Linked DNA regions of Mytilus edulis. The protein of the gene in region 2 purifies or fractionates together with the protein of the main gene of each other region. This does not show direct contact. Links are inferred from orthologs where the notes say so. Each region holds a gene or a part of one and is shown on either strand. Other genes may lie near its edges.

What was found.
Region 1: the proteins of protein FAM98A-like (region 2) and RNA transcription, translation and transport factor protein-like purify together in Homo sapiens (affinity purification with mass spectrometry; 4 studies listed by BioGRID and IntAct, with this or other methods). This does not show direct contact. The link is inferred for Mytilus edulis from reciprocal best matches to the Homo sapiens genes FAM98A and RTRAF.
Region 3: the proteins of protein FAM98A-like (region 2) and ataxin-2-like protein purify together in Homo sapiens (co-immunoprecipitation; 3 studies listed by BioGRID and IntAct, with this or other methods). This does not show direct contact. The link is inferred for Mytilus edulis from reciprocal best matches to the Homo sapiens genes FAM98A and ATXN2L.

The regions. Positions count from the first base shown.
Region 1 is NC_092346.1:102,674,059-102,684,505, forward strand, and holds the start of RNA transcription, translation and transport factor protein-like, read right to left. Parts: upstream 4,035-10,447; 5' UTR 3,924-4,034; coding exon 3,863-3,923; intron 745-3,862; coding exon 520-744; intron 1-519. UniProt on the Homo sapiens protein: RNA-binding protein involved in modulation of mRNA transcription by Polymerase II. Component of the tRNA-splicing ligase complex and is required for tRNA ligation.
Region 2 is NC_092345.1:24,241,973-24,252,458, reverse strand, and holds the start of protein FAM98A-like, read right to left. Parts: upstream 4,862-10,486; 5' UTR 4,840-4,861; coding exon of another isoform or gene 4,769-4,839; intron 2,283-4,768; 5' UTR 2,191-2,282; coding exon 766-2,190; 3' UTR 1-765. Other genes in the region: uncharacterized protein C05D11.1-like, read left to right, coding at 6,340-6,487, 9,443-9,525, 9,804-9,962, 10,398-10,486. UniProt on the Homo sapiens protein: Positively stimulates PRMT1-induced protein arginine methylation. Involved in skeletal homeostasis. Positively regulates lysosome peripheral distribution and ruffled border formation in osteoclasts.
Region 3 is NC_092349.1:93,598,612-93,609,170, forward strand, and holds the start of ataxin-2-like protein, read right to left. Parts: upstream 4,052-10,559; 5' UTR 3,632-4,051; coding exon 3,573-3,631; intron 1-3,572. Other genes in the region: TBC1 domain family member 10A-like, read left to right, coding at 4,539-4,678, 7,643-7,742, 9,780-9,887. UniProt on the Homo sapiens protein: Involved in the regulation of stress granule and P-body formation.

The DNA.
Region 1 (10,447 bases), on a different chromosome or scaffold from region 2:
TCAGTTGACCGTGAAATTGGGGTCAAAACTCTTATTTGGCATTAAAATTAGAAAGATCATATCATAAGGAACATGTGTACTAAGTTTCAAGTTGATTGGACTTCAACTTCATCAAAAACTACCTTGACCAAAAACTTTAACCTGAAGCGGGACGAACGGACGAACAAACAGACAGACGGATGAACAGACGTCCAGACCAGAAAACATAATGCCCCTCTACTAACGTAGGTGGGGCATAAAAAGTTATTTTGGTATAAACAGAATGTATTTACATATGTATGGAAAATATATTCTTTGTGGGTATTTCTGTAAGGCTGTTTGTTGCACATATCCAATTTGTCGGGAAAATATAGAGTGTGTAAAATGGTATTTTTATGTCAATGCCAGGAAAGATTATTCAAATTAATATAAATACACTTTTCTTCCAGCCAGAGACTTTTCTCAGAAATTGCCATTACTTAGTACCATTCTCCCAACTTGGCCAATATTCTAATTCCAATCTATATCTGTATTTCTTACCATTATCACCATATTCTAATCTGACTGAATATCCTAATATCCAATCAATTAATAAAGATCTTTGGGATGGTTGGTAAGGACATCCTAAATCCTCTAAATACTGCTGAAAATGTTTTGTCCAATCACTGCTAGGCATGTTACGTAGCCCTGTCCTATCTTCAATCTTATAATGTCGGATTTTCTGGTCTTCCAACCAAACAATAAAATTTCTAAAGTAGTTCTCATCTGAAAAATATTAATTTTAAGTAATATATTATATTACTGTCTATTGCCAATGTAACTTTTAGTATTAGGAGCTAACAACTACATGTACAAATGTACCCCAGGATCTATTCAAATTTCAAGTACAATTCTAAGACTTGTCATTTAAAAATTTTATCATTATATTTAGGAAAATGTCTGCAAGGGGAAGCTACAGAAGAAATGTACATGAACATGTACAATGTATTGTGTGCAAACATAATATTAAAACATAATTTACGACTTGTTTCACAGAAGGATGCGTTCCAATTTTCCTTTAGGAGCACATGCGATCTACCCAGGTTTTTGTATTGCTCAGTCTTTATTTTTCTTTGTTGTATTTTGTAGACTACTGTTTTCTGGGTTTTTTTTACAAGTAAATCATTGAGAGTGTACAGTTACCTGTATGACTTAAAACAGTCATAATAGATAGTTGATTATAACACCCCAAAGAACTTATGTTATTGTTATGTGACATGCCAAATACATTTATGTATAAAGCTTTTGCTTGATTTGAGTCTTTGCATTTCCATTCCTAACTATCTATTTCAAGGTTCATTTTTCATCCAAAAAATTCTTGTATCCAACCACTGTGAAATAAATATCATAAATACTGCTATCAAAATTGACAGCAGCACTTAAGAAAACCGCATCTTTTATCGATCAACATGCTACCCCGATTAGATCAGCATTAGATCAGCATCTTCAGGACGAAGTATACAAAAACATTTGTAGAATCTCTGAAGTACAAAATAAATGGGGAATGTGTCCATAGGGACACAGATGATGCCCCCACTAGCGTTTAACATTATAAAGGGACATAACTCATGAACTGTAAAAGTGAAGCTGCCAAAATTTGAACTTAAACTGAGTTTAGTGGTAATAAGCATTATACATGTATATACATTTCAGTAAATTTAGTTGAGACAAACTTTTAAAGTGAGAGAATGGAAATGAAAAAATTTAGTAATTTTTCCATTTGTAAAGGGGCATAACCCTTGAATGGTAATCAAAGTGCTTGTAATAAAATTGAGAATGGAAATGGGGAATGTGCCAAAGAGACAACAACCTGACCATAGAAAAAAACCAACAGCAGAAGGTCACCAACAGGTCTTCAATGTAGCGAAAAATTCCCGCACCGGAGGCGTCCTTCAGCTGGCCCCTAAACAAATATATACTAGTTCAGTGATAATGAACGCCATACTAATTTCCAAATTGTACACAAGAAACTAAAATTAAAATAATACAAGACTAACAAAGGCCAGAGGCTCCTGACTTGGGACAGGTGCAAAAATGCGGCAGGGTTAAACATGTTTGTGAGATCTCAACCCTCCCCCTATACCTCTAGCCAATGTAGAAAAGTAAACGCATAACAATACGCACATTAAAATTCAGTTCAAGAGAAGTCCGAGTCTGATGTCATAAGATGTAACCAAAGAAAATAAACAAAATGACAATTATACATAAATAACAACAGACTACTAGCAGTTAACTGACATGCCAGCTCCAGACTTCAATTAAACTGACTGAAAGATTATGATTTCATCATATGAACATCAGGCACAATCCTTCCCGTTAGGGGTTTAGTATCATACCATCATAACATATATGAGAAGAACATAACCCGTGTCATGCCAACAAATGGTTTTTTAATAAATGTGTTTAGTTCCGATGCAAAGACCCTATAAGTGAATCAATATTAACGCCAAAATATGCAATCTTTAATGACCTGACAACAGTAAGCACTGATTTGTAAAGATTGCTTTAATTTATCAGTTGGAAGTAAAAATGAATAAAGCATTGGGTCCAAGACCACAATTGTCGTCCCTTGATTTTCGTTGTCCACAAATATAGTCCATAGTGTTGACAGTGGGTTACTTGCCATTAATTTTTATACTCCTTAAAAATTTATTTCTCCATGTTTAATACCTCAAATTGCAAGTAGGGGGGTAAAAATTTGGGTCCAGAATTTTAAAGGAAAGTAGTGATTTGGTCCAGTTAAAAAAGGTTTAAAATAAGCACTTCAGAAGCTGTCAAAAGATTTCAAGACGCCCTAAACATAAAATTGTCCATATTTTGAGTTAGAGTCGATGAAGTTTTCTGTAATTTTAATATAATTTATCCCAAAAGTAGTACAACACACTTTAAAATTTTCATTGAGAAAGCGCAGGTGGGATTTTTTAATTTTTCATTTATGTTCTAAAAGAAATGCACTACGAAATAATTGTGGTCACGGACCATTGGTTGATTTAACTACCATTCTGGACAAAGAAAGATAACTCCAATTTTCAAAGATATTTTAAAAATGAACTTTTATATTTTCAGAACAGACATTTTGATTTTCTAAAAGGACATAACTCTTGAACTGTATAAGTGACACCACCAAAATTTAGTCTTGACCTGTGTTTTTTTGGTAATAAGCAATGTGTATAAGTTTCAATACATTTGGTTGAGACAATGTGTATAAGTTTCAATACATTTGGTTGAGACAAACTATTTAAGTTAGAAAACGCAAACCAATTTAGGAATGTATGGACTGATGGATGGACGCACAGATGGACAAGGGTAAAACTTAATGCCCCCTCTGCTACCGCAGGGGCATTAAAATAGTTTATGGATAGTTTCTTACTTCTGAAGTATAAAGCTTTTATGACACATAATTTACGCAGTTGTGGTTACCTCTGCCAGATTGTAATTGTGTATCTTGTATTCTGGGACTTTCAAAGCAGGCGATACAAAACCCATGGTTGAAACGACTTAACAAAGTGTGGCCCAAATGACAGTACAGTAGACGATAGCAATGGTATTGTCTAAACAAGTATGGTCGAACATTGGGTACAGTAGAATCTGTGTACACTCCCCATTTTGGCATTGATATTGATTTAAGGATTAATTAAGGTGTATCACTAACTTCAGGAACTTATACACAATTCACCACCACGGACAATCCGTTACCCAATTACCAGGGGGTGTAATGATACAGGACATTGATATTATGGAGGAGGAAGCCGAAGTACACGGAGAGAAACACGGCTGGGCACCGGTCTCATCGGTGCTGCATCTTATAAAAACAAACTGTTCTAAGCCCTATACAATACCCTACCTTCGGGATTAAACGTCTCTGGTTGAGGATAATCTAAAGCTAAGAGTTTTCTTTTGTACATAATTTAGCTAACAGGTTACAGAAAAAATAAAGTAAAAGTTTCCAACGACAACGTTTCCACACTTTGTGGTCTGGTTTCAGTTTTCATCATAAACCAGTCAATTGTGCACATGAGTTATTTGAGTTATTTCCCTTAAAGAGAAACCTAATGGAAGGACATCGATGTACCGTAAGCATACCCAAACTACCACAATTAGAGGTTGATGAATGTTTGTATGAAAGCTGCTGTTTCAAATATATTTATGAAGGTAAGGCCTGATGCAAAAGTTCTAGAGAAAATTGTCATAAATCAGGAAATGGTATATGTGCTAATAGCTTCAGCTCAAAACCTAAAAGTTATAGAAACAAACATTATCAAACAAACTGTCTTAATAAAATGTAAAGGTTTCAATGCTGTATGCCTTAATGTTAGACATATTCTATCTAAATTTGACGAGTTAAAAAATATAATTACTATAAACAACAAATATCTAGATTTATTTGGGTTAGGGAGCTACCATTTGATTTTTATGGGGTTGGGCTAGGATGAAAAATTTTGTCCTGCATTTTTTTTAGTTGTAATCTCTGTCCTGCCTTTTTATTTTTCACTCTATTCGGTCCTGCATTTTTTTCTTATTAGTTTATCCTGACTTTTTTTTACCTAAATGGTCATCCTGCCTTTTTTTTTTTGCAAAGTGTCTCATCCTGCCTTTTTTTTTAACTCAAAACTCCTGTCCTGCCTATTTTTTTCAAATTTCATCCTAGCCCCCCCCCCCCCCCCCTAAAAATCAAATGGTAGCTCCCTTAGTTGATACATTCTTAAAATCTACGAAGGCTACATGTGTCGGAGAAAATCGGACACGGAAAGGGCTTGAATTATTCGAGTTAATATTAACATTGAACAATATAAAGTGCCAGGATAAAAAATTTCAGAAAAGATCGCCAGAGTAAGGATGTTGGTGGCCATTTGGTTTATGTCAAAGATTTTATTGCAGTTAAAAATAGAGCTGATTTATCCATTAATACATTAGAAACTTTATGGTTAGAGGTAGAATTTCAAAAATCTAAACCTTTCTTCATTTGTACTCAGTATTTATAGACCACCAAATTCCCCTCAGTCCTGGATAGATCTTTTTGAGGAGGAATTTAATGCAGCTCTTTCAGAAAACAAAGAGATAAATTTAATGGGGGACTTTAATATTGACTTGATAAAAATTGAGAATAAAAAATGGATGAATTTCATAAACAATTTTAATCTTCAACAACAAATTTGCACTGCAACACGTATTTCACGGTGACAAATCGGAAACTCTAATTGATCAGATTTACACTACTAATCCTGAAAATATTGCCCATTGTCATGTTCCTTCATATGACCATATCCTGTATGCTTGAATAGAAAAATCAATATAAAGATAAAGAAAGAAAATCGTGTCGAAATAAAGTATAGGTGTTTCAAAAAATTTAATGAAGATGCCTTTTGTACAGACTTACATCAAACCCCTTTTCATATTGTTGAAATGGAAGATGATATTGATATTGCTGTTGACAAATGGTATGAACTTTTTAATCAAGTTATTAACAAGCATGCACCAATGAAAACTAAAAGAATAAAAACATTTAAACAAGCCGAATGGTTCAATGAAGAAATTAAAAATTCTATTCAATATAGGAATATGTATCATTCAAAAAAAGATTGGGTAAACTTTAAAAAGTGGAGTAATAAAACAACGTCGTTAATATTTAATCAAGGACGTATATATACAACTTAATATACGTCCTTGATTTAATGAGGGGGGCAAGGGGTTTAACTGTTATGCTGTTATGGGGCATTTTAATTCTTTGTTATCTGTTATTCTGAAAATATATTTACTGTTAGCTGTTATTGTCTTATTCTTTGTTAGCTGTTATAGGACTATTATCTATTTTGTTATCTGTTATTGTGAGAATGTATTTGCTGTTAACTGTTATTGAAAATTGGAATGTTAGCATTTTGACAGCCAATCTTCCGTAGAATTTGAAGATAATTGAAAATTGTAATTTGAATGGATAATAATCTCATTGGCACGCTTACCACACCTTCTTACAATGTATATCTGTTGGGGTCTTTCTACTGGTAATATCGGGTGGCCCTGTATTTGCAGAAGAATTTCAGTAACATACATCACATCAATCTTATTAAAAACCGATCTCTCATCGCTCCTGTTTCTGATATGTCGCGTGGGACGCGACATAACAGAAACAGGAGCGATGAGAGATCGGTTTTTAATTAGATTGACATCACATAAACATATTAAAATCAATTGGACCCAGGACCATTCCAGTATATATTATTATTATACTTTGTAATAAATTCCATTGTCTGTGAACATGTAGCATTTTGTACAAATTATAATTCACTTAATTATTACTTGTACATTAACTTATAGTATGGATTTTGTTATAAAAAAAGCATTGGAACACCCAACACCCTATAGATTTTTTTTATTCAATGACCACATAATAATGTTTATGTTGTACTGTTTCAACACTGTTCCTGATTAGGGGAGGATTGGACACCAACTAGCATGCTAACGTTGACGCAATCACATTCTGTATGTGCCTACTTTCAAGTCAGGATCCTGGATTCAGTGATTGTAGATTGTTACTGTATACTAAGTTTCTCGTTCACTATTTTGTGGATAAATTAGGCAGTTAGTTTTCTCCTTTGAATTGTTTTATATTACTAAGTGGTATGGGTTTGAATTATGACTTTTGAAATTATACAACATCTTTTTCTTTTAGCATTTATATTATAAGTGCTACTCCCCCCTATTTTCATTTACATGAAAGAGAACCCTGACCACCATATTTTTAAAAGCTTTTTAACTGCTTCACATGGCGAAAATTGAAGCTCTGAAACCATTGATGCAAATAAAGATGTGTCTTCAGTTTAATTTTTCAACAAATACCCTTTTAAAAATCCTACAGCTTCTCCAATGCTGTACCCAAATTTTCCATATTCTATAATTTCACATAAGATGCATGATTGGTGTTTCACTTGGTGTCATCCAAATTTTCACTCGGTCCAAATTCTATTATCCTATCAGAATTGTCACTTGAGGCAATTTCTATTATCAGAAGAACCATAACTGGCATGCGTGTTTCAGTTACATGTCCTGTCTCAACTGATCTGGGTATTTTTGTATTTTATAAGTAAGTTTTATCATGAGGTCATTAAATAAAAAAAATATATTGTGCATCAATGGTTTTTTTTATTACTTGTAAAGTATGTATATTGCTTTTCAGAAGAAAAAAAATCTAAAAATCAATTTGATAATAAAGTGTCACTGGCTGCACTATTTTCAAAAATTAAATAAAAAAACCTAAATCATTAACAATTGATCCCAAAAATGCCCTAGATTAAAAATTTCCCTATATCAAAAACAGAAACTAGTAATTTCGTTTAGAAAAATTCAACAATCATACTATAACTTATTGTACAAGTTACGGAAAAAATCAACCAAGGCAGAACTGCCTCAACGGCCGAAACGTCTTGTTTACACAAATTACAATTTTCTAGGTCCATACCACAAGTTATATACTAAGATCTACGAGTCATCTACTGGATTGGTCCTGGGCAGATTTATTTTCATATTTCATTTACTGTTATCTGTTATTATCCCTTTTCAATTCCTTGTTATCTGTTTTTCACCAAATCAATTCACTGTTTTGCTGTTATGGGGACCCCCCTTGCCCCCCTCTTTAATGCAAAAAAGGAATATTACCAAAACTATAACTAGTTCCAAAAATAGTAAAGAACTTTGGAATCATATTAAAGAGTAAAATCCAAAAGAGGATAATATTTTTTCCAACTAAAATGCAGTATGAAAATCAAACTGTTTATAAAAACCAAGATATTGTAAATACTCTTTATAAGGACTAGAACACACCCGTGATATCACGGGTCCGTGATTGAATTAAAGTATATAACTATGCGCAAGCCTTATTTTAGTATTATTATTGTCATCTGTTAAAGTCGTGCCGATTATAAGATACACAGTTTTTCTCTGCTTTCAAGTCTATCTGTTTGAACCCGTCGAACTGGAACTTATCAATTATTGGTAATATTAATTATTTGGAAAACAAAAGGTCCTGGAATGGAGTATTTTTTAATCAACAGCATTGTCCTATATAAGTTTTAAGTAAAGTTGAATTCTTTGCCTCGCTGTTTTACGTCATGCCCACTAACAAATTGAAAACTGTACCTACTGATACGCCTTATTTTTAGTCCAGATTTTTAGTATTCGTATTGTTATCTTAGAAAGTCTAACTGATTAAAATACAACAATAGGTAACAATTTGACAATTTAGTAGTGTCAACCCTGTGGTTATGACCCGTGTATATAGCATATTAATCCTGAATACAACGTTTGGTGGTGCGCCTGTCAGATGCGGAACGTACAGATAAGGTAATAGGTAACAGGTGAATATACTATTGGTATCGGTAGCGGACTCGACCCGGAACTTCTTCATTATTGGCAATATTAATTTAATACGTGGAAAACAAAATTTTTAACCTACACCTTTGTACTATATTAGTTATATATAAAGTTGAATTCTGTGATTCGTCGTTTTTACGTGATGACGGCTGACAAATTGGACCTCGTAATTTTAGTATTATAGATGTACTTAGGTGAGGTTTTGGAATTTGTGTCAAATGTTCGGACCCCTTGGTGTTTTTCCATACAATACAATGTAAAATATTTTGCCCCATAACACCCATTTATTTTTTCATTTAAGACTTAATAGCTCATGAAAGGTCATTTACCAAATTTCAGAAGATTCTTAATTTTCTTTCTTTTGCTTTGAGACCTAATAATACCAATGCAAATATAAGGTAAAAGCCCGAGTCAGCCTTTTCCCGCCATATTTTAAATCTCAAATATTTCGTAAAGGAGGTCCATGACCTATCAATATGTTTAGCTTATTTTTATCCTTAATTGATGCTCTACCAGCTTATAGTATCAATTTTAACTTCTCAATTTATTAATTTTCACCTAACCTCACCTAAGTACATCCTTAATGTTTATTTTTCATCCGTAGCTGAAAAACTTATTGGAAATAATACTTCAGATATTGATTTTTCTATGCTACAAAATTTTACTGGTAAAAAATTAAAGAAAACTGAAATTTTTTTAAAACTCATGTCTGTTGGAGAGGTGTGTTCTCAACTAAAACATCTTAATATTAATAAATCCACAGGTTTAAATGGAATTGGTCCCAATTTTTTTAAAGCTATGTGCAGAAATAATATCGCCATCATTAACTTTTTTAATAAACAAAAGTATAACTTCAAATCGTTTTCCGCAAAAATTAAAACTTGCCAGAGTAACTGCTATACATAAAGGAGGACCAAGAGATATTCCCTCAAATTATCGTCCAATTTCTATTTTAAATACCATATCTAAAATTTTCGAGAGACATGTTTCACACAGTTATATGAATTCCTAAACAATACAAAATTGTTACATATCGCCCAGTCAGGTTTCAGACAAGGTCATTCGTGCCATATATATCATTTTGTTCTGGTATCACCTAAGTTGGACAAAGGTAGTATACAGAAAAACACATTAGTTTACATAACATTGCATATATGTACATTTGTTGAGGAACAGCGCTAACTAAACTAATTGACGAATGGTTAAAATATTTAGATAATGGAGGAATAGTTGGTACAGTGTTTTTAGATTTTAGTAAGGCTTTTGACCTTATTACCCATGCCATACTTTTAGAAAAGTTAAAATTTTATCATATCGGAGAATACATGATAGATTGAATAAAATCATATTTGTCTGAAAGACAACAACAAGTCTAATACGCCAACATTAAATCTGATAAATCGTTTGTAAAGTATGGAGTGCGTCAAGGTTCTATTTTAGGTCCGCTGTTATTTTTGATATATATAAATGACTTACCACTTCATGTTATACAATCCAACATGAATTTATATGCTGATGATTCAACATTGCATTTTCATGATAAAAACATTGAAAAAATAAACAGCATATTGCAAAATGATTTAAATGCTATACAATCTTGGTGTAACAATAACAGTATGAAAATCAATGCACAAAAAACAAAGCGTATAAATTTAGGTTCAAAACAAAAACTTACACAACTATCAGAATTATGTATTACCGTCAACGAAACATGCATTGAGAATTTCCATTCTTTCAAATTACTTGGAATTGACATTGATGAAAATTTAAGCTGGGAAGATCATGTTGATCGTATATATGTAAAATTATCTCATCTAAAATATCACTTTTATATAAAATTAAAGTATATTTGCCAATACACACAAGGCAACTATTTTATAATGCATATATTCTACCATATATAGACTATTGTAGTTCAGTTTGGGGAAATTTTTTACAAAAAGATTCAGATAGAATCATAAAACTTCAAAAAAGAGTAGCAAGAAATATACTGGAATGCGATATTTCTATTCCATCTAATTTCATGTTTCCATCTTTAAAATGGCTATCTTTTACCAAAAGAATA
Region 2 (10,486 bases):
TGAACACTTGTAAATACATTTAAAACAAAGAATAAATATTTGATTCCTACAATGCATTATTGCCCCCACAATTGTTGTAGCCGAAAAATATAGGTAAAATAGGTCAAGGCTGAAAACTCGTAACGCAAAGTGAATTACATTACTTCTATCACCCCCACAATAAACATGTATAGCACTGTGAATACAATATAGCACTTAGAGTTTAGACAGAACACATGTTTAGAAAATACCTTCCATAAAGGCAATCTGATCTAACAATCAATGTTGGGTTCAAAATAGATCTGGTAGGAGAATTTAATTTTTCATAATTCATTATAAAATTGCACCATTCTTATTGTTAACCCGTACTGGTAGCAAATACTAGATGCAAGTATTTCTGGTACTATAAATAGTGAGATAACATGACTACAAAAATCTAATTGTAACAGAAATGAAATTAAATACAAATGTGAATTAATTATCCTGCCACCGAGATAAATATTAACAGGATTGACTAATAGTGATAAGTTTTTAAATCCAATAAACTGTAAATTACTTCCAGAATGTTTATAGTAATAATTAACATTCATGAATATTTCACTTTGGAATTTCTTGAAGAAAAATTGGTAGCCGAATGTTTTGTGGGTAAGCAAAAAAAAAAAAAAACACCTACTTTTATATCTTATCTGACATGCTTATCAAATAGCTGTTAAAAGTTTGAAAAAAAATATTAACATACATTTTCAATGTCAGGAAAAATTCAACAACTAAGTGTTAATAACATAATTATCTATTTCCCCCTCTTCCTCCACGTCCACCACCCCTCCCACCTCTGCCACCTCTTGCACTTCCACTACGTCCTTCTTGATCATAACCCCCTCCTCCTCCTCTGTGTCCTCCTCCACCTCCACCACCTTGATAGCCACCACCTCCACTACCTTGATAGCCACCACCTCCACTACCTTGATAGCCACCACCTCCACCACCTTGATAGCCACCACTTCCACCGCCTTGATAGCCACCACCTCCTCTTCCTCCTTGACCACCACCTCCTCCCTGATTCCACTGACCACCAAACTGTTGACTTTGATTATCTCCCCAACCACCTTGTACTTTACCTCCACGCCCACCTCCTCCTCGGTCACCACCACGTTCTCGATCACCACGTCCTCGATCACCACGCCCGCTATTGTAACCACTTTGAGGCCTTTGCTGTTGGGGTTGATCTACTCTTTTCACAAATGATGGCATTTCAGGAGGTGGAGGCTCTAGCTCCCATGCTCTTCCCCCTCTATCTGGTACCTTTGGAATACGAACTTTATTTATTGCACATCTTGTTTTATCTCTTGCTTCACCACTGCTTGTTTTCTCTAATCTAGTTAAATCATCCCTTGCCGCGAGTATTTGTGCAACACTTATAGCAGTTTTTCCCATTAGCAACTTTCTAATCGGCTGATAGACTGCTGCTATATCATTCTGCTTTTTCTTCGCATTATCACCCCACATGAATGATTGTATAGTAACGTCTAGTCTTTTAAGTAACATTTCACGTCTTGTCTGATATTCTAGTGCTAAGGAATTGTTTATCTTTAATATTTGCTCCCACTGCATATCAGAAAGGCGAGCCTTTAATAAAGGTTTACCCACCTGCATAGGATGTTTTGTTAATATTTCTTTTATCTTATTTTCAACCTTGCTAAATAACTGAAAAGATGTTACATTTACAGGTGGTTTAGGAAAGCTTAATCCCATCAACATAAATTTTAAATGCTTAGCAACATCACTTTCTTTCACATCTTCTGGTTTATTCTGATCTGCTGCTTTGAGAAGACCAGGTTTTTTAACAGCTAATACTCTGATTGTAGCAAGTTCAGAGGTTAAATAATCCAACAGCTGTAGTTTGTTTTCCTTAGAATTTACTCTTTCTGTAACTGGGCCTCCTTCATATAAATGATTGTAAGGACAAATCAATTCTCGGAGAAAGCCACTTAGCTCCATGACAAACTCTGCTGAGTCCTCTGAACTCGTTATTGGATTAACATGTTCTTCTAATCCAGTGAAGGATTTAATTTGATCAGTGAGCCAAGATACTAATTCAGTAAATTGTTGTTGACATGGCCCATTCTCTACAAAACTGTCAAAAACTCCATCATCTAGGGCTGGTCCACTATACCCTAAATCTTCAAGTGAATCTAAAATATCGTTTTCCATTGTATCAGCAATAGTAATTGAATGTGATGATATTTACTAGTGTCCTGATAAGTTGTCTATCTTTGATACTAGATGCAGTGTGCATTCATACACTGAAAATAAAATTATGCTCATGTTGATCATTAAATCATAATTGTATCTTACATTTTTTGTATATGCATTTAGCCATCTAACATTGTCTAATAACATCTCAAAGAAAAATAATGTGTTTTTTGGAGATATGTAACAGTTATTTTTTTTACTTGTATGTACCATGATAATCTTTCACCAAGTTCATAGAAGACTTTTTTCAATTTTAATTTATATTCCATTCTAATTTCGAATGTATTCTTGTTGCTTTCATATTTCATGTTTTAGTTCAGAAAGCAAGATAATATTATAAATCATGAAACATTTCAGATAGTTATGTTTGAACTTGAAGCTTAAATATTTGCTGAATCTTTTCTTATATGAACTGATTCTTGCCTATATATCTAGAAACAAGTGTATCAAATAATTTGAAAATTTTACTTTAAATTTTTGCATTTGGGATAGGCACTTCCATATTTGGTTTTTGAACTTCTCAGATTACATTCTAAATCATTTCACTTGTTTTAACTTACAAAAAAAATTAATTGTATGACAACAGTTTCAAGTTTATATATATTCTGAAACAACCTGACACACTTTCTGGTAAAACATTTTGTACCCTATCCATTCAAACTCAGACATCAATTAATTGAAGGAAAAAACTTACCTTTAACCTTTTTGTTTGTGTTTATCTGCAATTCTGTGTTGCTTCATTATCCATCAGGGCCATTTCCCAATGGTAGTTATAAATATAGACAAAATGCTGTACCCATCAGGGAACTTCAAAAGCTCTTCCAATATTGATCATGGTTAAATAGTTTGAAATATTTCCATTCTTCATTTTATAGGTTATAAGTAGTTTTTTTTTATAAATCCCAGTCTAATATGTAGGTTAATTTTGTTCAAACTTCTTGTTTCGCTGTTGTCATACAATTAAACTAGTGTAAGTTAAAATCATGTAAAATACTATTATAAAAGATGATAATAATGTTAAATATAACCCTTAAAGTCATCTGTGTCCTTCACATGGTAACATATTAGGACCACCATGACCAATCTTTGCACTAGACAAATCATGATGAAACATTCCCAGAAATATCTTAAAGAAATGATAAAATAAGATAAGATTCCATTTGTGGAGAGCAAATATTTTCTTTTATTTCAAAATGGTTTCCCAGAATTTCTGAAATACATTTTTGTATGTCAGTTCCAGATAGTATAAAATATCAAACTCTGTCAAATTTGGCAGACTCAAATTTCCTGGATAATATAAATCGGGTCCATCAAATGGTTTCTTTTGGTTATTTCTGGAAATATTTAATTGTGCATCAAAAAGCACTAAAAAGGTAAGACTTTCAAACTACGCAAACATTTTCTTGCTGGCAATGAAGATTTCATGCCAAAATTGGGTCTCAACAGTTCTCACCAAAATTCTCTCTCTTAAGTCCAGACGGAAAAAATTGTTTCAACGTTATGACGTCATAAGAAGGCGTAGCAGAATTTAAAAAAAAAAGCCTTTCAAGACATCAATTATTAATGTATTTGGACTAGGTGTCGTAATGGAAAATATAATTTACTATAATTCAGGCCCAGCAAAAGGTCTATGTTCATGTACTGTCTCTTGCCCCAAATAAATAAGTAGGTATGGTAGTTCCAATTCAAAATACATTTCAGGTTTATCATAACAAACAGACAAATATGGCTGTATTTACATGTCAAAAACTACTCTGAGTACAGACTTACCTGTCCAGTAAGAAAAGTTTTAATGCGTAGCATCCAATACATATATAAAAGTTAAATGCATTTTGTGTTGCAGAAAGATAAAATCTCTTTTTGATTTTGATGGGCATTTTTTTTCCTTCATGCATAAGGTATGAAAATAAACTAAGTTGTGGAACAACTTTGAGATGCTCCCTCAGGTAAAAACTGGTTTGTATTTTATTGAATGTTCTTAATTGACATGGACAATAGGTATCCTCACAACTATAGGTGAGTTAAAGAGTTTATCTAAGTGGACATGTAGTCATGACAGTGTAAAAGTAATTCAGGTGTTGTTTATTTTCACACCTTCTCCAGAAAGGAAAAATATTAAAATGCCCATCAAAAACCAAAAAAGATTTTATCTTTCTTAAACACAAAATGCATTAAACTTTTATATATCTAGTGGATGCTAGGCCTTAAAAATTTCCAAACAGCACAGGTAAGTCTGTACACAGAGTAGTTTTTGAGGTGAAAATACGGCCATATTTGTCCATTTATTATGATGTACCTTACGTTCATTCGGAGACATATAAAGTATCGTTTTCATCTATGATTTGTTTTGTTTGTTTCTGATAAAGTAAAATATTTTTTTTGCTGAGTAAGTGAGTTGCTTAGATACAAAATAAGGAAAATCATAATTTATTGAGAGAAAATAAACGAAAACCAGGAATACAATGCACTCATGATCTCTTTCATTGTAATTGGAAGAATGACATGTTCAAATTAAAAGCTAAATTGATCAAATTACCCCATTCTAGACATGCCACATGCACGTTTTCGCAGAAAATGAATCGAATATGCTAGAGATAGTCCAAACATAATATTATGAGTTTGCTAAAATATGGCAGTGTTCCTAACTTGGCCAAATTACCTCGTATCTGAAAAAAAAAAAAAAAAACTCCATGCAAGATTTGGGATTTTCGCTTGATTTTCGCGATATTTGCCCCGAAAAACTGAAATCGTATATAAAAGCCTAAACAGGATTCTACACGTACCACTACAGATACAGAATCAAACTTCTAATTACTGGCTCTTTCTTGTAGTCCTTAATTTAGTATTTCCTTTTGGTCTCACTAATTGTCAACAAGAAGCGACAAGAAGCAACAAGAAGAATAGATTTAGCGACAAGAAAACTTAAAAAATATTATTAAAATAATTTACATAAAAAGAATGCATTGACATTTTGATTTAATATTTTGTGATAAATAAAGTGATTTTCTTTTTTTTTTGTTATAATATTGATCACAATTTAAAAAGAAGTACGCACTCAAAATTCATTTTCAATTATTTGTGTGTTTTTGTGAAATATATATATATAGGCCACGCAGCGCAAAAGTTTAAACAGTATATAATCTTCAGGTAATGAAGGACTACTGGATTTTTAAATGGTTATAAAAAGAAACAATCTGGCGATATTTTTGTCTATAAAAAAGGTCGTTGTGGTGCAGTATTTCTAAAACATAAAAAATGGTTTTAGTTGAATTTTAAAATGGTTCTTAAAAGACACAATCTGGCGATTGTTTTGTCGATAAAAAAAGGTCGTTGTGGTGCTGTATTTCTAAAACATAAAAAATGGTGTTAGTTTAATTTTTAAATGGTTCTTAAAAGACACAATCTGGCGATTGTTTTGTCGATTAAAAAATGGTGTTAGTTTAATTTTTAAATGGTTCTTAAAAGACACAATCTGGCGATTGTTTTGTCGATAAAAAAAAAGGTCGTTGTGGTGCGGTATTTCTAGAACATAAAAAATGGTGTTAGTTTAATTTTTAAATGGTTCTTAAAAGACACAATCTGGCGATTGTTTTGTCGATAAAAAAGGTCGTTGTGGTGCGGTATTTCTAAAACATACAAAAATGGTGTTAGTTTAATTTTTAAATGGTTCTTAAAAGACACATTCTGGCGAAAGTATGTCGATAAAAAGGGACGTTGTGATGCGTTATTTCTAAAACATTAAAAATGGTTTTAGTAGGATTTTTAAATAGTTCTAAAAAGAAACAATCTTACGAAAGTGTTGTCGATAAAAAAAGGTCGTTGTGGTGCGTTATTTGAAATGGTTATAGTTGTATTTTTAGATGGTTCTCATATATAATAAAAACTGCCCGTATATAAAAAAAAAATGCCTGCATATTTTTTAATATATTTATATAAATATTTTTTTTTTAAAAGTTTTCTTGTCACTAAATAGTCTTCTAGTCGCTTCTTGTCGCTAAATTTATTCTTCTTGTCACTTTTTGACGCTTCTTGTCTCTAATTAGTGAGACCGTTTCTTTTCGGAATGTCTTTGGTGTTTTCTTTGAACACACTAACACAATTTCAAAAATGCCGGAAAAGTCAAGTTTTGATCTGGTATATTCAGTCGAAGCAGACGGAAATATACCAGTGTCAAAATATAGATCTGGTAAAACTGGCCTCACTATCTTCATAGCTGATGTTGGAGGTCCTCTTGTCAATGGATACTTTTGCCTTGGTAAGCTGGAAGGGTCTACTAAAATTATGCTTACACGTCTAACAATTACAGTTTGATACATAATTTATTGATTATACATTATGAGGAAGCTGATGATGAGAATGATATATGGGTAACACGAATGACCGAATAACACTTGAAATTTTAATATTAACACATTTTGGTGACTTTTATAAATTTGATTATCATATACTTAGACTAAATAACATGAATTTTACCGTATGATAATAGCATTAAATTAACGTATATTTCATATTTTTTCCAATTAGTGCTAAGCGGGCTGATATGAAAAGTTTATCACATGCTTCGATTGTTATCACATGCCTTTCCGTAACGTTATCACATGGCATTCCGGTGATACTCGGCAAATTCCGGAAAATACACCTCAATACTACGTTTTCAGTGAAAAACATTACAAAGTAGTGTACAAAACAATTATTTGGATACTGGAAAATATATTGTGTAAAATAATATAAAAAAAAAAAAAAAAAAAAAAAAAAAAAAAAAAAAATTATTTAATAAATGCATTTTTTAAAAGTTTCAAACATAATTTAGAAAGTTATTTTAAAAAAGGTTGACTTTTCCAAACAATGTTCATTATGTATATTGTTGAATTATTTTTTTTTATCGATTCGTCCATGTTAAAATGGTTTTTTTCTCTCTGTTGAGGCATATGTTAGAAAGACTCATATCGAATGTACCAAAATTTGGGTCCGACGTCCCTGAACTTTTCACTCTTTGAACTTCTTTTCTAAAAGGATCATTATATGAATCTGTTCTTTACTGTTGAAGCATATGATAAAAAGATCATAACATGTCATTTTTCATATCGCATGTATTATCAGCCCTCGGTCAATATCAGCCCTCGAGCCATGCGGCTCTTGGGCTGATATTGAACCTAGGGCTGATAATACAATGTACATGCGATATGAAAAATGCCATGTAATAATCTGATATTATAATTGAATAATAATATGTTATCGATGTATTTAATAACTTAAAAATGATTTACAGAAAGCAGATAAGTTCATAAAGATCAATTTAAATTTAGTGTGTACATCGAACTTGGCGACCATTGTGATTTTCGTGGGTCACCATATTGGATCTACATACTAAATTTTTAAAGTTTTTTATGAACTTGTCTGCTTTCTATAAATCATTTTTAAGTTACAAAATACATCGATAATATACTTATAATTAATAATCAATGTTTAAAAGTCACCAAAATGTGCTAATATTAAAATTTCAAGTGTTATTCGGTCATTACAAGTGTTATTCGGATAACAATGTTATTCGGTCATTTGAGGTACCATCAGTCAGGGGACTTACTTAAATGAGTGATTAGAAATTTTGTTATAAATTGTGATTTTGTAGTTATACTAAAATTTTAAACACATAGGTTTAGATAATATCTTTTCATTAGTAAAATTGAAAAAAATGAACTTTTTGCTTCTTTTAAGTAGAAAGGTGTATGCCTTTGGTGCAATAATTTAGCTGCAAATTCTATTTTAGTGGATAAAATGCTATAATAATGGCCTAACTTAATGAACTGATACTTTCTTCACAGATTTTTCCCAGCAGTGGGAGTATTTTTCCTGTAAAGTTCAAGGTTTCATCTTTCAGATTATGTAATAAAATTCTACTGTTCGCGATAAAAAATTCACTGTTCGGGGGGTGTTGAAATTAATGGGGGTTATTAGAACAATGATACTTAAAAAAGTGATTTTTTTAAGGAAATTGAGGTATGATACTTAAACAAGTGATTTTTATGTCATTATCCTAGATTCAGTACAAGGTCATCACCTGACATGACCTGGTCATCCTAGACAACACAGATGTTGGTTCTGATAAGTTTAGAAACATAATTAGTCCCTGGATCATTAGTATTCTATATTTAAAACTACAATAAAATTAAATCACTTAGTCTAGTGATAAATTTGTACTACTTAAATAGGTGATTATTAAAGAAAGACAACTCTAACTTACGACCTTTATGAACATAATGTTACTTGAATCAGTGATTTAATAATCACTCATTTAAGTAAGTCCCCTGACTGACCATCATTACCTATGAAAAAATAAAGGTTGGCAAGAAGATGAAACTACATAAATGACAAAATGCCAAGTGACAGTCCAAGTTGTCCTCATAGACATTCCAAGTTATCTTATTAGTAGGTCTGATTTATCTATGGGCGTAGTTATCCCTGATTCAGCTGATGAAGGTGTCTTCTTGTATATAGAGCATGCGCATCTAGTTATGAGTTAAGAAAGTCGATTTGGGAGCTAACAACAACAATACTTTATTTTAAGAGGGTTACACAGTTAGCTATATAACTATGTCCGTGTTAAGAAAGTCAAGTTATGAGTTACAGAAGTTGAGTTGTACACTAAAAAGTTGACTTGTGAGTTAAAAAAGGTTGAATTGCAAGTTACAAAAGTGAATTTACATGTACATGTACAACGTATTACAAGTTACAAAAAGTCTGGTTCCGAGTTACAAGTAAAAAAAGGTTGATTGTCCAGTTACCATGGTTACAAAAGCAGAGTTGTGAGTTGAAAAAAGTCTAGTTGTGAGTTACAAAAAATAAAGTTTAGTTACGAAAGCTGATTCAACAGCTAAAGTTGATCTGTGAGTAATAAAATATTTTGTATATCAATCTAGTATCTTTTCGTCATTTGATAAACAATATATTAAAAGGACATCAACAAAGAAAACCTCTGTCACTAGATTGTTGACTTTAAACACAAATATAAACATATGCTATTGTTTTTTTTAATTTTTTAATTAGCTTGTAAGCTAGGTCCTCCATTTGTGAGGAACTTTATGGCAACTTGATAAACTTTAGATTGCAATTATTTGGGCAAAATAAATTTAAACCAGATCTAGAGAAAACTTTAGATTTGTTTATCATAGCATTTTGATATTTAATGAATTTTTTATACGCTTAATTTCAGCCACAGAAGCTCATGATGACGATGGTTTGCCTCACACATTAGAGCATCTTATCTTTTTAGGAAGTGAAGAATATCCATATAAGGTATAATTATAAAAAAGGGCTTCATAATTGTTTCAAGGAAGATGCTCCCACAGAAATTCAGTACTCTGCAAAGTGATATCTTTTGCTTTATTTTGGTTTTGTGTAAAATATAACTGAAACAGGTCCTAACAAAATTTAGCTGGTTATAATATAATTTAGCAATGAATAAAAATATTAGGTTTAAAAGTTCCCCTAATTTTATCAAATATTCAGTCCATAGAAATCTGATTGAAAGCTGAACCTATAAGCATTTGAGACCTTTCATGTTTTATATACAGGGTGTACTGGACTTACTAGCCAACAGATGTTTAGCTTCAGGAACCAATGCCTGGACAGATACAGACCATACCTGTTATACCATGACCAATGCTGGTAGTGAAGGTTTTCTCAAACTCTTACCAGTCTATGTGGAACATGTTTTGTATCCAACTCTTACGGTAAGATAAACATTTATTCATGTTAATAGAAAAAGCTTTTTAATATATTTTTGTTATTTGAGAATTATTCTGTAAATTATGAAGGGTTAATTAAAGGGTAGTGGACCAGAAACATAATTTAAAAACAAAATTGTCCATGATGTCTGATAGTATAAAATTTATCACATAAGTGCCAGTTTTTATGGTTTAAAGAAAAAAATCAATGATTCAATTAGAGCATGTAGAGATAGTCATCATGGTCTTGTTGTTGTCAAATGTTGATTTATTTGGCTCCTTTTACAAGGAAAGAGTAGAATATAATACCCTTCTTGTCTCATTTATTGAGGACCTTATTCTGACACTGAGGGTTCCCCTAGATAAAGGAAGCATCTACCTGAACACAGTACAATACAATTAATACATTAATGGATTGGTTGTTTTATACTTTGTTTGTAGGAATCTGGATATATCACTGAGGTGCATCATGTATCAGGTGAAGGAGAAAATGCTGGGGTTGTATACTGTGAAATGCAAGGTAGAGAGAA
Region 3 (10,559 bases), on a different chromosome or scaffold from region 2:
AAAAAACGAGGTCATAATCAAGTATAGATTTTTTTTATAAAACTTTAATGCAATTGAAAGCATTAACAACAACGTTTTGGATTTTAAAACTTTTATTTTGTAATCGTAAAATGGAAATGGCGTAGAATTATTAGCATAACAGATAAGGAATAATATTTTCTTTTTTACTTGTAGTATAAAAAACTTTGAGACGTGTAATTTTTCTTTAAACTGCCCTCATTTATTCAGCGTTAGTCTCCGTTTATTGTTGCACAATTATATCTCTTTTAGTAAATTAAATATTTATTTACTGATAAAAAAACGGAAGTCAAAATCAAATATAGTTGTTTAAAAACTTGATTAAAATGTACAGAGTAATTGAAAGAATTAACAACAACGTTTTGCTTTTTATTTTAATCTTTCATTTGTTTCAAGCAATCAGATATAACCTGATAATCAATAGACAGGAAATACAATTGTTTAATTACATTAGAAATCTCACATACCTTGACTGTCGCGTGCCGGCATAGATCAGACGGATTAGGGCAATTAATTACCTGGTGTCACACCGCGTCACACCAGACTGAGAGAGATGTCGCTAATACAATAAACAAAAGGTAGCGGATTTACGCGGAAGTCGGAGGGAATACTCCCAAATTTCTCCGAGAATTTTGGGAGGGATGTCGGAGTTTCCTGGTGTTACACCAGGAAAAATATCGGAGTATGGAGTTTGGGATTACAAACTCCTTGGGCGTACTGTATGAATATCAGGTACAATCCCTCCCGTTAGGGGTTTAGTATCATACTATCATAAAATATATGAGAAGAACATAACCCGTGTCATGCCAACAACTGTTTTTTTAGAAATAAATGTGTTTAGTTCCGATGCAAAGACCCTATCAGTGAATCAATGTTAAAGCCAAAATATGCAATCTTTAATGACCTGACAACAGTATCGTAACTATATCCCCTTTTAATAAGTCTATTTAAAGGTTTTGTTAGTTTCTGAGGAGAATACTGACATTTTTGTGCTTTATAAAGAATATTTCCATAAAATTTTGGATGTGAAATACCTGAACGTATAAGATGTCTGCATGTTGAGTTATATTTACGAATTATTTCCTTATACCGGTGATAAAATTTAGTAAATGTTTTGACCAGTTTGTGATATCGAAAACCCTGGTGTAATAATTTTTCAGTAATACATAAATTTCTCTCGCTAAAATCTAATACATTGTTACATACACGAGCGAATCGTACAAGTTGAGATATATAAACACCATAAGATGGTGACAAGGGAACGTCACCATCTAAAAATGGATAATTAACAATAGGAAATGAAAAATCATCTCTTTTATCATAAATTTTTGTATTAAGCTTCCCGTTTATGATATAGATATCAAGATCGAGGAAAGGGCAGTGGTCATTGTTATCATTAGCTTTATTTAAAGTAAGTTCTACAGGATAAATTTCTTTAGTATACATACTGAAGTCGTCATTATTTAGAGCCAATATATCATCCAAATATCTAAAAGTATTGTTAAATTTTTGTATCAAATGTTGTTTTGATGGGTCTTTGCTAATTTTAGTCATAAATTGTAACTCATAACAATACAAAAACAGGTCCGCAATAAGTGGTGCACAGTTAGTCCCCATTGGAATTCCAATAACTTGACGATATACGGAATCTCCAAAGCGAACAAAAATGTTATCAAGTAAAAATTCAAGTGCATAAATAGTATCAAAGCATGTCCAATTGACATAGTTCTTTTGTTTATTGCTACTAAAAAATGATCTAAAAGAGTTAGAACATATGTACTCGCATTCCGACTTTTTAAATGCCCAGTTAATTAGGGATGTGAATTTTTTCTTAATAAGAATATGAGGCAAAGTGGTATATAGGGTAGAAAAATCAAAACTTTGAACAGATTCAAAATCACCAATATATGCATGCAATTTATCAAGTACTTCCAATGAGTTTTTGACACTCCAAAGGTAATTAATTCCACTATTTTCAAAGGCCTTATTTGAACAATTTATTATCAGGTTTTTTATTGTACCAAGTGTACTAGTAAGTAAAACAGACAATTTAGTAGTTGAACAATGGCTGGAAGATGAAATAAATCTATATTTGTAAGGTTTTTTGTGCAGCTTCGGAAGCCAGTACATAGTTGGGACTTTCATTGTGTTTATGTACACCTTATCGCTATTTGGAATGTCCTGCTGTGGTGTCAGATATTTTCTATTATGACGTCAAAATTTTAGGGAACTTATGTCCAGAAATGGAGAAAATAGTGATAAAAGTGTATTAAGGGGGAAAGCAGAATTATTTAGGTAATTTAAAGCAAATAATATAACTTATCATGCTTGTGGGTTTGTAAGTTGGTGAGTTTGCAAATCTTGTTCATAATGGTATATACATGAGGTACTGCAGAATAAGAATGCCATGTATATGTTTACATTGATACATGTACCAGTTTTCAATGGTACAAAATAACTAAATTTCTTCAGGATTTTTATCTTAGTGCTCCTGTAAAAATATGTAATTTCTCATTGAGGGTGGTAAAGGGTTATTTTCGTGCAATGTTTTCAGCCTTTTTATTTCCCATATTTTCGTGTTTTGACATTTTATTTCTCGTTTTCTCGTGTTTGGCTCAATTTGAGTGCTTCGTGTTTCCCCTTATTCTATTTTCCGTGTTTCGTGACTGTGCTCTTTATATCTTGTGCATGTCCCGCAATTTGTTATACTGCATACCTTCTGAAATTTATGAAATCTAATAGTAATTGGTGTATGTTGTTTTCATTCTACTTTTGCATTATGTATGGTATCATTGAAGTCCATCAAATTACTGTGAATATTTTTTTCTTCATAAAAGATGCAAGTAGCGGACACTTAAAGTGGACCGGAAAGTCTCCATGTCCATTAATAAGGCTGTATGATCACCAAGAACGACTGAGTAAAAACTTATGGTACTTTTTCCTTAATATTTACCCCTTTATTTCTCGTGCTTCGTTGTCCTCAATTTTTTAATTTTTCGTGCAATGTTTTTGAAATTTTTATTTCACATGTTTCCGTGTTCAGTATCCCCCTTTACCACCCTCCGCATTTAATACACCTTATCGCTATTTGTCCGTCATAGCTGGATATCACACAGGTTCCCATAAAATTTTGACGTCATACTACAAAATATCTGACGCCACAATGAAAAAGTGATTGTTGTATGTGTCACAAGTTCAAGCGGCCGGGTCAGCCGGGATTAGCGATAAGGACTTAAGGTGTATTGAAATTCTTCATATTGTCATGATAATCAAGAAATGTGTCAACTGAAATAACTTTTGGACATTTTATCTTTAAAAATAATTTAAACGTTTATTTTACAATCTGGTTTAATTACAGTTAAATATAATGTAAATTATTCGCCAGACCGAAATCATGACCGCATTGAATGATGAACAACGTGTAACATCGAGATACTGAGACTGACTTGAGGATAAAAAAAGTAAACAAAGGCTGTTGGCTCACTGACAATGAAATTGTCTAAAATGACATGATGATGAGGGGTAAATTGTTGTGAGACACCGAATAAAAGCACCTGTTTCCAGTATTTGTGTTGGGTCGATGGGTTCTGTTTCTCTTTTGACTGTTCATCATGGAGGTCCTGTCAGGTCGTGTTTAGAATGTGATCCTCTCCAAATCAGGAGTTCATATCGGTACAAAATATGTACCGATCTCTTCCGCAAATATTATAGTTTAAATATAATGTCACTAAAAGCAAATCAATGCAATATATGTTAAGTGTTGGTTTGTTCAATCAAAGTTGATTTATTCTGCCACAGGCTGCTACGCGGTAGAATATATTTCTGCTATGGAGGACGCACTACTTTTCTTATATTAAATTTTATAACTATTGCCTCTTTTTTGCAGATTTGATGCTAAACCATTTATTAACATCTTTTTATTACTATTTTTATTATTATTTACAGTATCCCCATAGCTGTGATATCAGATAAATGAATACATGAATGCGGACTATTTCGGTTGTTCCAAGAAGTAGTGAGTTGTGTGAAAAAACCAATGTCGGTCTCTCTCGATTTGACCCCAATGAAATTATTTGAAAACAACTAGACAGTCTATTGAAATAAGACCAGTCATTACACTATTTGTGTGAAGATTTTGCATGGTTAAGTTTATTTAAAGCGAAAAGAAATGTGAAAGAAAGTCCGATAATTATTTCGTCATGGTTCAATGAGCATGTGTCATAAAATTGTAAACTTCCGGTAGACACCACTTCCTGAAGATCATCAAGCAAATAAATTCTGGGTTATAACAGTTGACACCCTTCGTCGATCAGTCCTGAAAACAAATTATTTAAGTGCTGTTGTTCGTAGATAAAATAAAACAAGCTGTCATTGTTCGAGAGGACAGTTTCCAATCTTTTAACCAGCCCAAGACACCTCTAACATCAACAATCTATAAAAAAAATAATTTAGTAATGCAAGGCAAAGCATGACTTAACATCTAAAATAATATGTACATGATAGACATCTCATTCTAAAACATGGCAAATGCAATTCCAGATGATAGTCCGAGAGACACGAAGGAGATTGAGAAAGGAAGGGAAATGCAAAATGGGAGTGCTATGGCTCATGTCGATAGATTTGGTTTCATGGGTGGTGACCAATATACTGACCCAGACGAGTAAGTTTATATCCCAAACAATATGCATCAATTAATGAGTCAGTTAAGGTAACCGTAGTTTATCAATTTTTAAATCTTTTAGGAAATGACATAGGAACCTTGATACATCTTGTACTTTGTAGCTATTCCCTCTTGAACTTTTGACATTTAATATATACAACAATAACTGTTCCATTGTGGCATCAGATATTTTCTATTATGACGTCAAAATTTTACTGGAACTTGTGTGATGTCCAGTAATGGTAGCCAACTAATGATAAGGTTTAATAGTAAAATCTCATTCTGAAATCATACATTGTATGAGGATGGTAATGCTCTTTACCGTCAGGTGTCAAACAGTCATTTTCACTACGTTAAGCGTCAAATTGTTTAAAAATTTAGCATCATTCGTCAAAATATCCTTATTGTGATTGGTCAGATGTCTCAAATAATTATTACCGGTTTTTTTTGAAAAAAATAGCTTGATTTGTGAAATTCAGCTGATTTTTTATCGTCTAAAAGAACATGAAGAAAGTGTACATTTTATCGTCATGTACTAAAAATTACCTTAAACGTCATTTGGCAAGAATTTTTACCATCATAAGTCATTTATTACTACCCTCTTGTTTATGGGTGGTGCCAGTTACCCAACCAACCCTAGTTTAAAGCCACCTCCCCTAGATTTTTTTTTTTCATTTCTAGAAAATGAATTTGTAAATGATGAAATTTTGAGAAACATGAACATGATGAAATTAAATATAAAATTCAGACTTCTGTCATCTGAATTTCCATCAGAAGTAACCACTATGGCTAAAACTACAACAAATTCTAAATAGAATGCAAGAAAATAGTCACATAATTATATATCAATACAAAGATACACACAAGAACAAATGAAGAAGATCAGTATGGGTGCCAATGAGGCAACTCTCCATCAAAGTACAAGTTTTCATATCTTTATTTGAGTAAAAAGATACAACAGCATTTACAGTTTCTTGTGTATAATTCAGAGTTTAGTATGAGGGTCCATTATCACTGAACAGTGTTCCAGCTAGGATTTCAAAAGGGCAGGGTGCCAATCCTGAAAAAGGGCATTTACCGTGTGATATGATAATATGAAAAGGGCATGTTTTAATAAAAGATATTAATCAAACATTGTGTTTATTCGTTGAATCACAGGTTATACAAAAACAACATCATTAGCCCATATATAACTCTATCTTTCTACTTTGAAGGCTAAAAAACTTATCAAGCAGCTTGTCGCACAAGTTTTTAGATCATTGCTTGGCACAGTTGAGCTTTATATGCAGTATGTTTTGAAAGGTGACCTGTTTCCATACCCGTAGCCAGAGGGGGTTCGGGGGGTTCGGACGAACCCCCCTCTGAAAACAAATAAGCACTGTTAAAGTCAATGTTCTGTTCGAATTGTGACTGTTAAAGTCGAGTTTGTGAGTCCAACGAACCCACCTTTGGAAATTCCTGGCTACGGGCCTGGTTTCTTTCTGTTTCTATGGTCTGGCACATTTTACCAGTTTCACAGTTTCTACCCCTGCTGTGCTTAATGGCAATACAGCACAAAACAGCTGTGCCCAGTAATATATACAGCCCAGGATAAACAGCAACAGGGGAAAATTGTATCAAAAATAAAAAATACAGAAAAAGATGACCAAGGCATCCTACCAACACTGCTACTAAGACTCTCTTTAACTTTTCCCATAACTCAAAATACCTAAACATATATATTCTTAAGCAGGAAGTATGTAATATTTTAGAATATGTAAGGTAAATGAGGGGGGATAGGACCTTTATCGGGACTCAGGGATCGGGTGTTTTTAAGCTCGGGATTTCTGGATTGACCCTTTCCGGATCTGAGAATCCTTCTTTTCGAATTTCGGGACGTCAGGATTTACTTGATTTAAATTCGGGACCTCAGGATTTCGTTTTTTTAAGCCGGGGATTTCGGGATCAGGACCCCTCCTATCCCCCCTCGTAAATGAGTTACTCAATGCTAGGAAAAAATTGAGTTATCTTTCTTTATTTGGATGTGCTCCTTCTTTGGAGGATTATAAACAGTACGTAAATATAATGTAAATAGAAAACAATATGGCGGCCGATTTTGTTATTTTCGTATCATAAATGAGGGCAGTCAATGACAAATACGTCTGAATTTTCTGTTTATTTCATGGAAAACAAGTAAAACAATGTTTTCAACTAGTTTTTTATGGTTTTCAAATTTCTGTCATTACGTTTTCTCCATGAAACTACATGCAGTAAACATTTCAAATTGTGCCCAAGCACATTTCTTCAAAGGTAATTGCCGAAATTAAAGTTGATGATCATTAATGACCCATCCGATAAACAGATTACCTATAACGACAGATTATGACACCAGTTATAACTGTAAATTAGCTTGGGGTCGTAAACAAAGTCATAAACTTTTCCCCAGGTAAAATTTAGTAATTAGCATATCATATCAATATGAACAAATTAATATACAATCGATCTTCAAAAAGGCAGGGCGCACTGGAAACTGTAAAAAGGGCACAGGGTGGCACTTGGGAAAGGGCGGGCGCTGCGCCCTCTGAAAATGGCCTAGCTGGAACACTGCTGAAATTTATCTAATATAATTCGAAGGATGAAAATTACTGACCCATTGATATTTGACCTCAGTAAAATTCTGTGTATTCATGTATATAAACCATACTTAAGATATGAAATGGTAACCTATACCAGCAGGACGTCTGTGTATGCCTTCGTTAAATTTGATACATACATTTGTACATGTATATTATAACATGTATAACCATGATAACACAGCATTCAGGGCCTCTAGAGGAGTTTGAAAGTATGATTTACTGCTGTCCAATCAATTTTACTTTGTGAACATGGTCATGATGGTGAAATAAAATGTGTTTAAACTCTCTACAATCATGACAATGCTACATGTATATATATACTGTGAATGGTTGTACTGTCTATTTTCAGTGAACACAGGATCTCTTTTGAGAAATTAAGGAAAAGAGAGATGAAATGGCTGGAAATGTTTGAAAATTGGGAAAAATGTATGAGTAAAAGATTTAAAAAGGTAAATCATGTATGAATAAAAGATTTAAAAAGTAAAAAATATATGAGTAGAAGATTTAATAAAGGTAAAAAATGTATGAGTAAAAGATTTAAAAAGGTAAAAAAATGTATGAGTAAAAGATTTAAAAAGTTAAAAATGTATGAGGTCCGAGAACACAATTAATTTGTAGTGCATTTCTTTTAGAACATAAATGAAAATTAAAAAAATCCCACCTGCGCTTTCTCAATGAAACTTTTAGTGTGTTGTACTACTTTTGGGACAAATTTAAACTTCATCGTCTCTAACTCAAAATATGGACAATTTTATCTTTAGGGCGACTTGAAATCTTTTGACAGCTTCCGAAGTGCTATATTTCAACCTTTTTCACCTGGACCAAATCACTACTTTCCTTTAAAATTCTGGACCCAAATTTTTTTACAGTGTAATTTCACCCCCTTACTCACAATTTGAGGCATTAAACATGGAGAAATTAATTTGGAAGGGGTATTAAAATTAATGGCAAGTAACCCACTGTTAACACTAGAGACTATATTTGTGAACAACGAAAATCAAGGGACGACAATTGTGGTCTCGGACCATGAGTAAAAGATTTAAAAAGATAAAACATGTATGAGTAAAAGATTTAAAAAGGTAAATATGTATGAGTAAAAGATTTAAAAAGGTAAAACATGTATGAGTAAAAGATTTAAAAAGGTAAATATGTATGAGTAAAATTTTTAAAAAGGTAAAAAATGTATGAGTAAAAGATTTTAAAAAGGTGAAAAATGTATTAGTAAAAAATTTAAAAAGATAAAACATGTATGAATAAAAGATTTAAAAAGGTAAAAATTTATGAGTAAAAGATTTAAAAAGGTAAAAAATGTATGAGTAAAAGATTTAAAAAGGTAAAACATGTACATGTATGGATAAAAGATTTGAAAAGGTAAAAATGTATGAGTAAAAGATTTAAAAAGGTGAAAAATGTATGAGTAAAAAATTTAAAAAGATAAAACATCTATGAATAAAAGATTTAAAAAGGTAAAAATTTATGAGTAAAAGATTTAAAAAGGTAAAAAATGTATGAGTAAAAGATTTAAAAAGGTAAAACATGTACATGTATGGATAAAAGATTTGAAAAGGTAAAAATGTATGAGTAAAAGATTTAAAAAGGTAAAAATGTATGAGTAAAAGATTTAAAAAGTTAAAAATATATGAGTAGAAGATTTAAAAAGGTAAAAAATGTATGAGTAAAAGATTTAAAAAGGTAAAACAAATATATTTTATATTTTTATTAATACAAATTTCTTACTTTATTTACATGTTTACTTTGATATTTAATATTAACATGATTAATCAATTAAATCAATCATATTATGAACTTTCTTTAACCTACGTTTAATTTATTTTATATTACGTTTGAAAATTATATTGTAATTATTCTACTCATCCAGCCAAACTGAATCTATCTCATTCCCCCAGATTTAAGATGGACCAGAATTCATAATTGAAGAACTAGACATATCATAAAACCAATGATAAAAATTTCACTACATCTAAACATGTTGTAATTATATAAGAAGTGTTTATTAAACTGGAATATGAATTAAAAGAGATGTGTAGTAAAAGTCAACATGACATCAAGCCAAGGACTAAAATAACCAAGAGAGACATAACATGCATAAAGAGAAACACGAAGCCTTCAACAAGTTGTCTATAACAAATGAACATGTAAAATATATCTTAATCATGTAAATTGGTGTGGAAAATATACACGATATATAACATGTATAAAGAAATTACTTGCAATTAGAATAAATATTTCCTTGTCATGCCTGTTACAATATAGTGCAATAATATGTTTTTAGTACGATACAATATGATGCAATAATATGTTTTTAGTCCGATACAATATGATGCAATAGTATGTTTTTAGTCCGATACAATATGATGCAATAGTATGTTTTTAGTCCGATACAATATGATGCAATAGTATGTTTTTAGTCCGATACAATATGATGCAATAGTATGTTTTTAGTCAGATGTCTATTTATTTTTCAGATAAGAGAAAGATGTCGTAAAGGTATTCCCCCTTCCCTGAGGTCAAGGGCATGGCAGTATTTATGTGGTAGTAAATTCCTAATGGAACAGAATGCAGGGAGATATCAGGTAAAGGTATTCCCCCCTCTCTGAGGTCAAGGGCATGGGAGTATTTATGTGGTAGTAAATTCCTAATGGAACAGAATGCAGGGAGATATCAGGTAAAGGTATTCCCCCTTCCCTGAGGTCAAGGGCATGGCAGTATTTATGTGGTAGTAAATTCCTAATGGAACAGAATGCAGGGAGATATCAGGTAAAGGTATTCCCCCCTCTCTGAGGTCAAGGGCATGGCAGTATTTATGTGGTAGTAAATTCCTAATGGAACAGAATGCAGGGAGATATCAGGTAAAGGTATTCCCCCTTCCCTGAGGTCAAGGGCATGGCAGTATTTATGTGGTAGTAAATTCCTAATGGAACAGAATGCAGGAAGATATCAGGTAAAGGTATCCCCCCTTCCCTGAGGTCAAGGGCATGGCAGTATTTATGTGGTAGTAAATTATTAATGGAACAGAATGCAGGAAGACATAAAGTGATATTTGATACATGCGATGATAAGTTTGAAAAATGATAAGAGCCCCTATTGTTCATGAGGAATTGGTTTGGACATGGCTACCAAACACAAATGATATTTTGTGAAATGTAAAAAAAAAGCATCTTAACTTAATCAGTGGCGGATCCAGAGGGGGGTTCCGGGGGTTCGCACCCCCCCCTTTATTTTGGCCGATCAATGCATTTGTATCT